Linked DNA regions of Neurospora crassa OR74A. The protein of the gene in region 1 purifies or fractionates together with the protein of each later gene. This does not show direct contact. Links are inferred from orthologs where the notes say so. Each region holds a gene or a part of one and is shown on either strand. Other genes may lie near its edges.

Evidence for each region.
Region 2: the proteins of NCU03905 (region 1) and hat-4 purify together in Saccharomyces cerevisiae (affinity purification with mass spectrometry; 3 studies listed by BioGRID). This does not show direct contact. The link is inferred for Neurospora crassa OR74A from reciprocal best matches to the Saccharomyces cerevisiae genes YAP1 and ESA1.

Annotation. Positions count from the first base shown.
Region 1 is NC_026506.1:2,106,321-2,110,740, forward strand, and holds the start of NCU03905 (hypothetical protein), read right to left. Parts: upstream 3,018-4,420; 5' UTR 1,944-3,017; coding exon 1,494-1,943; intron 1,424-1,493; coding exon 682-1,423; intron 615-681; coding exon 296-614; intron 239-295; coding exon 16-238; 3' UTR 1-15. UniProt on the Saccharomyces cerevisiae protein: Transcription activator involved in oxidative stress response and redox homeostasis.
Region 2 is NC_026504.1:5,717,103-5,721,620, reverse strand, and holds hat-4 (histone acetyltransferase esa-1), read left to right. Parts: upstream 1-1,622; 5' UTR 1,623-1,765; coding exon 1,766-1,845; intron 1,846-1,921; coding exon 1,922-3,362; 3' UTR 3,363-3,975; downstream 3,976-4,518. Other genes in the region: NCU05217 (RNA exonuclease 4), read right to left, coding at 1-1,141; NCU11146 (aminotransferase), read left to right, coding at 4,320-4,518. UniProt on the Saccharomyces cerevisiae protein: Catalytic component of the NuA4 histone acetyltransferase (HAT), a multiprotein complex involved in epigenetic transcriptional activation of selected genes principally by acetylation of nucleosomal histones H4, H3, H2B, H2A and H2A variant H2A.Z.

The DNA.
Region 1 (4,420 bases):
GTAAGCGAGCCACTCCTACAGTGTGGCAGCTGCTTTTCGTGCCTTTTCCTCTTCACAGTCCTTCTCGCACCTCGCCATTGCTTCAGGACTTAGGTGCTTTTTCAGAACACTCTTGAACTCCTTCTCATCAACCACAGCACCATAGCCAGAGCACTTTGCTTTCTTCTGCAGATCGGAGCACAAGGCGTCCATATCAATCTCTTGGTTTTGTACACTGGAGCAACTGCGCAATTTGTCCCTGTTGAACATGTTAATAAAAGTCACATTTTCGAGGCCTCTCTCGGTTTGGTCATACCAGATCTTGCTGCAATCAAGTTGCTCTCTGACTCCATCATCCGATGCGTTGACCTCATCGATCTGAGCGATGAGATCCTTCTTCGGTGGTTGTGATTCTGCTTCGGGTTGTGGTGGCAGCAACCCTGGAGCTGTTGGTGGCAGATTATACGGTGCCAGGAAATCCGCATCGAATGCATCATTGGTCAACCAATCGTCAAATCCATTGTTGAGGACATTGTTCTGAGGCTCTCGGTAATCTCCGAAGAGCTGCGGATCAAACTGGAAATTGTCTTGAGGCAACCAGTTGAGAGTGTTGTCAACACCAAAAGTATTAAAGTCTAGAAAGTGTTGGTAAATTCTGGCCTATACAATCAGAGCGAACATTGAAGACTGGTGAATGCTTACCTGGCTGCCCTGAACCAATGACGCCTGGTTGCTCTTCTCCGATTGTGGCCATCGTATCTACTGACTTCAATCCGACGGGCGAATGAGTTAGAGGCTCTGGGGAGGTGCCACACGACGAACTAGCGCCACCCATGTTCGAAGCGCAAGAGGACGGGGAACTCGTTGACGTGCCGGCCCCCGCATTGTACTGAGAATCTGTTCCCCTGGTCGAAAAGTTCGCTCCCTCACCTCTTGCGGACTGAGGTGTGAAGAGATCGGCCGAGTAATGGGCCAAGTCTTCCTTGGTTTGTGTATCAAGGCCTATTTGGCCGTAATTGGGTGTAGTACCGGTGCTGACGCCATTCGTGGGTTGCTCCAGCCGACCTGTTGAAGACAAAGGGGGCGACACAGGGGTTCCCTTCTTGGTTTGATTTGCAGATTGTGGTCCAGGAAGAGGACCGCCAAACTTGGGGAATTCAAACTGGAAATTGACATCATTGAGGTTGCTGACAAAGGAGTTGCCGAACGGCATAGCCCGAGGTGATACCATCGGGGGTCGAGCTGTCATCAACGATAGACGCTTCTTGTACTCGTTCAGTTCGTTACTCATCTTCTCCATTTTCTTGCGAAGAATCTCGTTCTCATGGTTGGCAGTCTCGGAGATCTTCTTCAACTCTTCGACCTTGGTTTCAAGGTCCTTCAAGTGCTTTTCTTTGCGTTCTCTGAACGCTCGTTGAGCTGCTCGATTCTGGGCCTTGCGTTTCTGTTATTGTCACGTTAGTAGTCAATCCTTACTGAGACTCGAAAGGATCAATCGACCGAGGCAGGCTTACCGAGCTGGGCTCAGTGGTAAGAGGCTTCCTGCCGGGCTTTTTGGCAACTTTTCCCTCGCCCTCTCTCCTCTTTGGTTCGCTATTCTCCTCCTCGTCGTCATCCGGATGACTGCGCTTGTCGGGGGACTCCACATCGGCGGAGCCCGACTTGGAATCACTTGGAGCATTGGACCGATCGTCCGTCATGTGGGATTGATCACCAGTGTCGAAGTTGAAATCGAAGTTGGGGTCATGTTGTCCATCAAGGCCGTAGTCGTAACCGAAATTCGGGGTGTGCTGGAAACCCATAGGGTCGAGTCCTTGGGCAGACGTTCCGTTGTACATTGCGGATAGACCAGAGAGGTCGGCTTGTGTGTTGATGGGCTTGTTGGAATTGAGGGCGGCAAACAACAGGCTTTGTTGCTGCGGGGTGAGGACGAGATTGTGAAGAGGGTTCTGAGTCGACGTCATTTTCGGTTGTCTTGTATTGGAGATGGTGACTAAGAGGTAGAGCAGTCGGTTGAATCGAGGAAAGACCTTGGATGTTGAAAGGATGGGATGAATTCACTCTCGTGATCTGATCGCTCCTAGCGGTCGGAGCCGCACAGGCGGCAATTGTCGAGTATCAAGACCGCGGGTCCAATGGCAATGTGTTTTAGCGGAGGTCCGGGGTACCGGGCCCAAGATGTACGTATGTCCTGGTCGAAAACTGATGTCGGGGTAGATCAGATGCTAGTACGGGTGACGATAGAAAATCTCTTGCGGAGACGATGACGTTTCGACAGCACCGTAGACTGACTTTGGATCAGACGGGGACGAGCCAGCGGCCACGCAACTAGCAGCTTGAAAGGCAGAAAACTCGTTGAGCGTTGCGGGCTAGGACGGAATACCAAACCGGGCAGTTCCAGTTCCTGTCCAGTTCTCTCCCGCTTCTCTAGTTTTCGAGACTCAAGTCTTCTCCCAAGGAAGACGTTCGGTGTGAGGTGATGGGGTTTGCCGGGGGTCAAAACGAGAGGAAGGCAGTAGGATAACTTGAACTGAGACAGAAGAGAGGGGACTTGGTCCGAGTGGCAAGTTACAAAAGACGCGGATGTATTTGCACGGAATAGGTAGAGGTACCAGGGCGAAGTTGTGGCAGAAGGTGTAGAGAAGGGGGGAGAAAATTGCGAGTGCCCGAGATGTGAGCCGGAAAGGTTAACTGCCTGCTGGAACAGAACTAACCGTTGGCCGAGCCGAGTGGGTGGGATGGCGGCGGACGCTGACTTGAATTGATGGGCAAACCTATCGGCCTGACACCTGACTCACCTGGCACTCAGCCTTTCGGAATCCTGTCAGCAATTGGGTTCAGGAAATAAGGTACACGTATGATCCCGCGGGGGCTCCTTTTCTGCGATTGGAGAGGCGACGGCACAGGCTGCAGAGCAGGTTTGTGTTTCGTTGGTTCGCTGATACGATTCAGATCTGAGAAGGGAAGGACTCTTGGGCGGTCTTTGGCGATGGAGGGGACGAGACTAAGCGAGACCGTCCAAAAGCGGGCGAAAAGAGTGGACGCTCTTCTTTGGTTACAGGGCCAAACTCGTAGAATGCGGGCTACACGGGGCACAATTGGGCGCATGGACGCTTGGGGGTGTCCAAGTGGAGCGTGGAGGGGTTTCAGTCCAAAGTCAATTTGTCAGCGAAAATCAGTCGAAGGGAACGTCTGGATCGTTCCTGGACGGTCGGGTCGGGTGCGCCGTGACCGGCTCTGGCAACTGTCAGCACACCTTGACATGCCGACGACACCCCGAGTCGATTCGTTCAACAAAAGGACTGACAGTGAGTTCTATCAGATGCAGACAATCAATCAAAATCAGTCGGACCGTTTCCACAAAAGGTACCTCTATGTCGGTATCTTTTCCTATAAGGGATTTCTCTTGTTTCATTGCGTCCCACTACGTAGAGGATCACATTGACCGATTTGACGTGAGTGGGCTTCAAGCAAGAGCTGCCAGTGTCAATCTCTTGAACCGTACAAAAAAAGCCACTTTTTGTTTGACCTACACGTGTATGTACTACAGTATGTAGTTCTAGTCGGAGCCTCTCGAGTGCAGCCCGTCCACTTTTCATCGACGTGGAAATACATCAGTTTCCGCGGGTACCCCAAGTGGAGATTCTTGCAGGCAAAACACCGGAGTGGATAATAAGTGGCCTTTGTTCGACGGTGAAAGAGATGCACTCTCCTCTATCTCCGCATCAACTTGAGTTTTACAAACCTTAACCACAAATAGTGTACACTACACGTGTACTGTGTCCAAGCAAACAACAGCCAGGGGCATTTGTTTGAAAAATGGGCGCACTCGGTGTCGTGATTATCACCGTCGCAATTAGCTCGAGTCTGGCATGCTGGTTTGCCACTGAGACCTGAGTTCGAGACCCAGTCTCCCCATTGAAGATCCCACGTTGTTTCCGTCTTCCTGTCGGCAGTTCAGACGCCTCGTCGATAGGAAGCCCGCATGGCTTATCTCCGAGTGGCTACAAAATATACAATTCTCAGCTTACGGACAACTTGCCATCTGGTTTGGATTACCTGGCCAGCCTGGAGCCTGGACACAAAATCAGGCCATGTTGGACACACATGAGCTTGTCCCGTAGTCAGCTTCGGCTGCCACGGCGGGGAATCTCGAAGAACAATGTCACCGATTCATGTGGTTACCGTTTAAAAGTCGGGTGTCGAGTCTTGAATTGTCTTTTGTACCGATGGGAAAAGGCCCGTGCTGCCAGGAATGTCCTCCCGGCGGTGGTTGCTGCTCGCTGCAGTGCTTGCATCCATTTCCCCACAGTGGATGCGGCACCATGACACGGGCAAGACGGCAGCGCTACAGCTGCGGCGGGGATTCAAGGGAAGGGATCGATCAGCCTCCCATGGATCGATCCACCAGAAAACTGACATCCTCGACTGTTGCGCCAAA
Region 2 (4,518 bases), on another chromosome or scaffold:
GATTACTATTCTCCATATCAAACCCATGCTTCTCCTTCCTAAACAACAGCATGGCTACCCTCGCATCCTCCACACTACTATGCTGTCCCTGATGAATCTCGATGCCCAAAACCTCCTTGGCCAACACCCTTAAACTCGGCTTCGGCCCATGTCCATACTTTCGAAACCCACTGTACTTGGCCGTATCCCTAATATCCCGATGCGGATGCTCAAACCCCAACACCTCCAAATCATGCTTGACATCATGACCCACCAATATCCGACCTTTCAAAAGGGCAGCCACAGTTGCTTGTACGGACTCGAACGATCGTGCGGACGCCATGTGGCGCTTGGAAATGCCTGATACATGCGTGCGCCAGTCGGTCACGAAAGCAGTGGGGCGAACGTACGAGTCGTAAATTTGGTGTCCGTGGAAGTCGACGATGGAGCATCGAGCGAGGACACTGGTGGCGCCCGAGGGACCGGTGCCGACCATTTCGCAGTCGATGGAGAGGTATTTGCCGAGCGTGTTGGACTTGGTTGCTTGCAGGATTAGTGCGAGGTCGGTGGTGGTGGAAGTGTCGAGTGTGAGACCGTTGGAGAGGGTGAGGGATGAGGGAAGGTCGGTTGGTAAGGGGAGGCCATTTTTGTTGCTTTTAGGGGAAGAAGAAGAATGGCCGGGGAGGGTGAGGCCTGCGTTGGGGATGGCGGGGGGGAGGGTGGAGAGGAGAGGGATGTGTGAAGAAGAAGAGGAAGAAGAGGTGCCGCGGAGGCCAAGGTTGTACGCTTCGGCGAGGGATTCAGAGGAGATGCCTTGTTCGTCGGCCCAGAGGTGGAGGGAGGGGAGGGTGCTGTTTGGGGAGGAGGAGGTGGTGGGCTTGGATTGGACGTTGCCGCCCATTTTTTCTTCTGTTGGTTTTTGGCTGCTGGGTTGAGACTGGGTTTGGGACTTTTGTCTTTTTGGCTTCTTGGAAGGGTTGGAGGCTTGTTGCTGTTGTTGACTCTCCTCGGCCTTGCGCTTGAGGGTTTCGGAGGAAATGGACTTTTTGGAAATGGCTTGCTTGAAAGCGGCTTCTTGGCTGATGGGAGCTGATTTGGTTGGTTGAGGGGCCTTGAGCTTTTCTTGCAACTTCTTCCAGTTGGAGGAGAGTTCCGGGGCCATGGTTGGTGACAGGAGGGTCTCCTGCCTTGGTGATTTTGATGGTGGTGGTGGTGATGGAGTGTTGAGTCAAGACAGACAAGTGAGGGTGTCACTGCCGATGAGGGATCACTTGTGGTATGTCCAATCACAAATTGGCGGCCGAGGTTATGTGGAGTCCAATTGGTGCTGAATTCTTATTTGGAATGAGAGAAAGTAAACAAAAGGTTGAGACAAACGGAAGATTTCCAGAAGGTGATAACTTTTTTGTATGAACGTGAAAGTGGATGTTGAATATGGGCCCCACTTTGGTGTTCACTTAAAAATTCAACTGGGGAAATCGGTTCCTGGACGATTGACAGGGTAGGCAAGCCATGCAGGGATCTGCCGCTGTGTCCCATTGCATCCCCGCTGAAATGACGGCCCAAACACGTGGGCTCGCCACTGAAGGACCCCTCCAAAACGTTCGGGAAGCGTCCACTGAAAGAGTCGCTGAACACTACAAAACACTTCAAGACTGACGTCGCGCGTCGCCCGTCAGATTGATCGCATTCAATCGCCCATCGTCCACAACCATCAAATCTTGTCGCAAACCATCGCAAGTTATCGACCGAATCATATACAGTTGGATCACACATAGCCGCCATCATGAGTCCCCCAGGTGGCGATGCCACTGTCGGCTCCGACGAGAAGCGACAGAAGGGCAAGGCGACGCCCGACACCATCAAGTATGTTTCCGTCCCATCATTGTCCACGGCACCCCCCATCGTCGTTGAAAAACCAGATACTAACACCACCAAACAGAATGGGATGTATTGCCATGGTGATGAAAGAAGGCCAATTACGACGAGCAGAGATCCTCAGTATCAAAGACACCAAGTCCGGCCGGCAATTCTACTGCAACTTTGACAACTTCAACAAGCGTCTCGACGAATGGGTGCCGGCCGCCAGAATCGATTTCGAGCAGGACGTCGAGTGGCCCAACCCGGACAAGGACAAGCAGAAGGACGCCAAGACCAAGAAAAACAACTCGACGGTATCCAAGAAGCAACCGTCCAAGAAGAACAACCAGAAAAAGGCCAGCAAGAGGGAGCAGTCAGTCGCATCGGACGGGCAGACACCACACCCATGGACCGAGTTTGTCGAAAGCCAGCCAGGGAAGAATAACAGGCAACGGGGGAAGACGGAAGATGGAACCGACGTCAACGCCAGTTTGGAGGTTGGTGGGGACAAGGGAGTCAAGAGGAAAGCCGACGAGATCGATATGGATGAGGACGAAATACCAGCCGCTAAGAAACAACGCCAGCCGTCTTTTTCCAGGGAACAAGAGATTGAAAAGTTGCGAACATCCGGCTCCATGACACAGAACCCTACCGAGATCTCGCGCATTCGGAATATCTCCAAGGTGGAATTCGGCCGCTACGTCCTCTTCCCGTGGTATTTCTCGCCCTACCCGCAGATCTTTGACCAAGAAGACTGCATCTACATCTGCGAGTTCTGTCTCTCGTACTACGGCGAGTTGAAATCCTTTGTGCGTCACCGACAAAAGTGCACTCTACACCACCCGCCCGGAAACGAAATCTACCGGGACGACTACGTCTCCTTTTTCGAAATCGACGGGCGACGTCAGCGCACCTGGTGTCGCAACCTCTGCTTGCTGTCCAAGATGTTTCTCGACCACAAAACCCTTTACTACGATGTCGACCCGTTTTTGTTCTACGTCATGACCACCCGCGACGACCGGGGGTGCCACATCATCGGGTACTTCTCCAAAGAAAAAGAGTCTACGGACGGCTACAACGTCGCCTGTATCTTGACCCTTCCGCAGTACCAACGCAAGGGATACGGTCGCCTGCTCATCCAATTCTCGTACGAACTGTCCAAAATCGAAGGCAAGCTCGGCTCGCCCGAGAAGCCCCTGTCCGATCTGGGTCTGCTGTCATATAGACAGTATTGGTCCGAGAACATCATCGATATCTTGCTCGGGTACAACGAGCGAAAGGAAGCTTGCACGATTGAGAACATTGCTGTTGCCCTGGCCATGACGACACAGGATGTGGAACATACGTTGCAGGCGCTCAAGATGCAGGTGTACCACAAGGGCGAGCACAAGATTGTGGTACCGGAGAAGCTGATCAAGCAGAGGGAGAAGAGCAAAGCGAAGCAAAAGAGGCTGATTGATCCCGAGAGGATCCAGTGGAAGCCACCGGTGTTCACGGCGCTTAATCGGACATGGGGGTGGTAGTTGCTCTCGCTCAGCAAATATTGAATGATACACCAAGACGACACACTCGTGACACCACCACACGGATTCATGACCCAATTAAAAGAAAACGAAACCATCAGCATTACGCCAACAAAAGAAGATCAATTCCTGAATCGATCAGATACTGGAAACCTTGCAGTAGTGTATGCAAACAGAATGGTCATTAACATGGCCGCAAAGTGCACTTGACCTTTGTTGGATTTTTACAATGGTTTCGTTGATTTATTGGGTCATGGATACAATAGGTGGTATGTCGTCTTGGTGGATCATTCAATATTTGGGGAGCGAGCGCTCTTACTGCTGGGATGTCTGTGTTATTCTCGTTGTAATAGTCATGAGAACAAGATTGCATGGGTAGCAAGCGGGTTGGTTAGTATGATATGGCGTTGGTTTTTGTTTTGGACGGGCACTTGGGGAAATGGCTTACAGGAGGGGGGGAAAAAGGAACACCATATGTATCACTATTACGGCCAAAAGCACCAGAATGGTTTGTCATTTCTTTACGAGTGATTAGGAATATAATTACCAGGATAGAGAAGCAGAGCCTAGTCATAATCTCTACTCATGATCAGCGAAAAAGCCTGTTTGCTACAGCACAAAATCTTGACGAAAGTTTAGCTCAAGATTCCCGACTTTACTATTGAGAGCATGGCTGCTTTGGACGTCATCAAACGTGGGTGTATTCCCCGATCTTACAGACCGCTTTCGCAGATTTGAAGCTTGTGACTGGTTATACCGGCTAGTCGTCGGAGATCTCCCGGGCCGCATTCGGTAGTGAGACCTCCAGACGTCACCTCATCCATTGCTTGTGTTCCGTCAGCCCCGTCCAGCCCCACACCTCCGGCCGGCCGGCCCCGCAACCTAGATTCCCCGCAATACGACATCATTCACGACGGCGATCACGACGGACAAATGGGTTAGGCTGAGATAAACTGAATGGTTTCACCACGGCATTTGAGATTCACTCGCTGCCAGGTTAATAACAAAGCTATGGTCCCAAAACCACCACCAACCTTATCTAGGTTCCACTCATCTCACCAACAACTCAACATTCCAACGTCTTCATCACTCCAAGTTAACATCAACACATCAACAACATTAACAACAACCACCGCCAACATGTCCCCCTCAACAC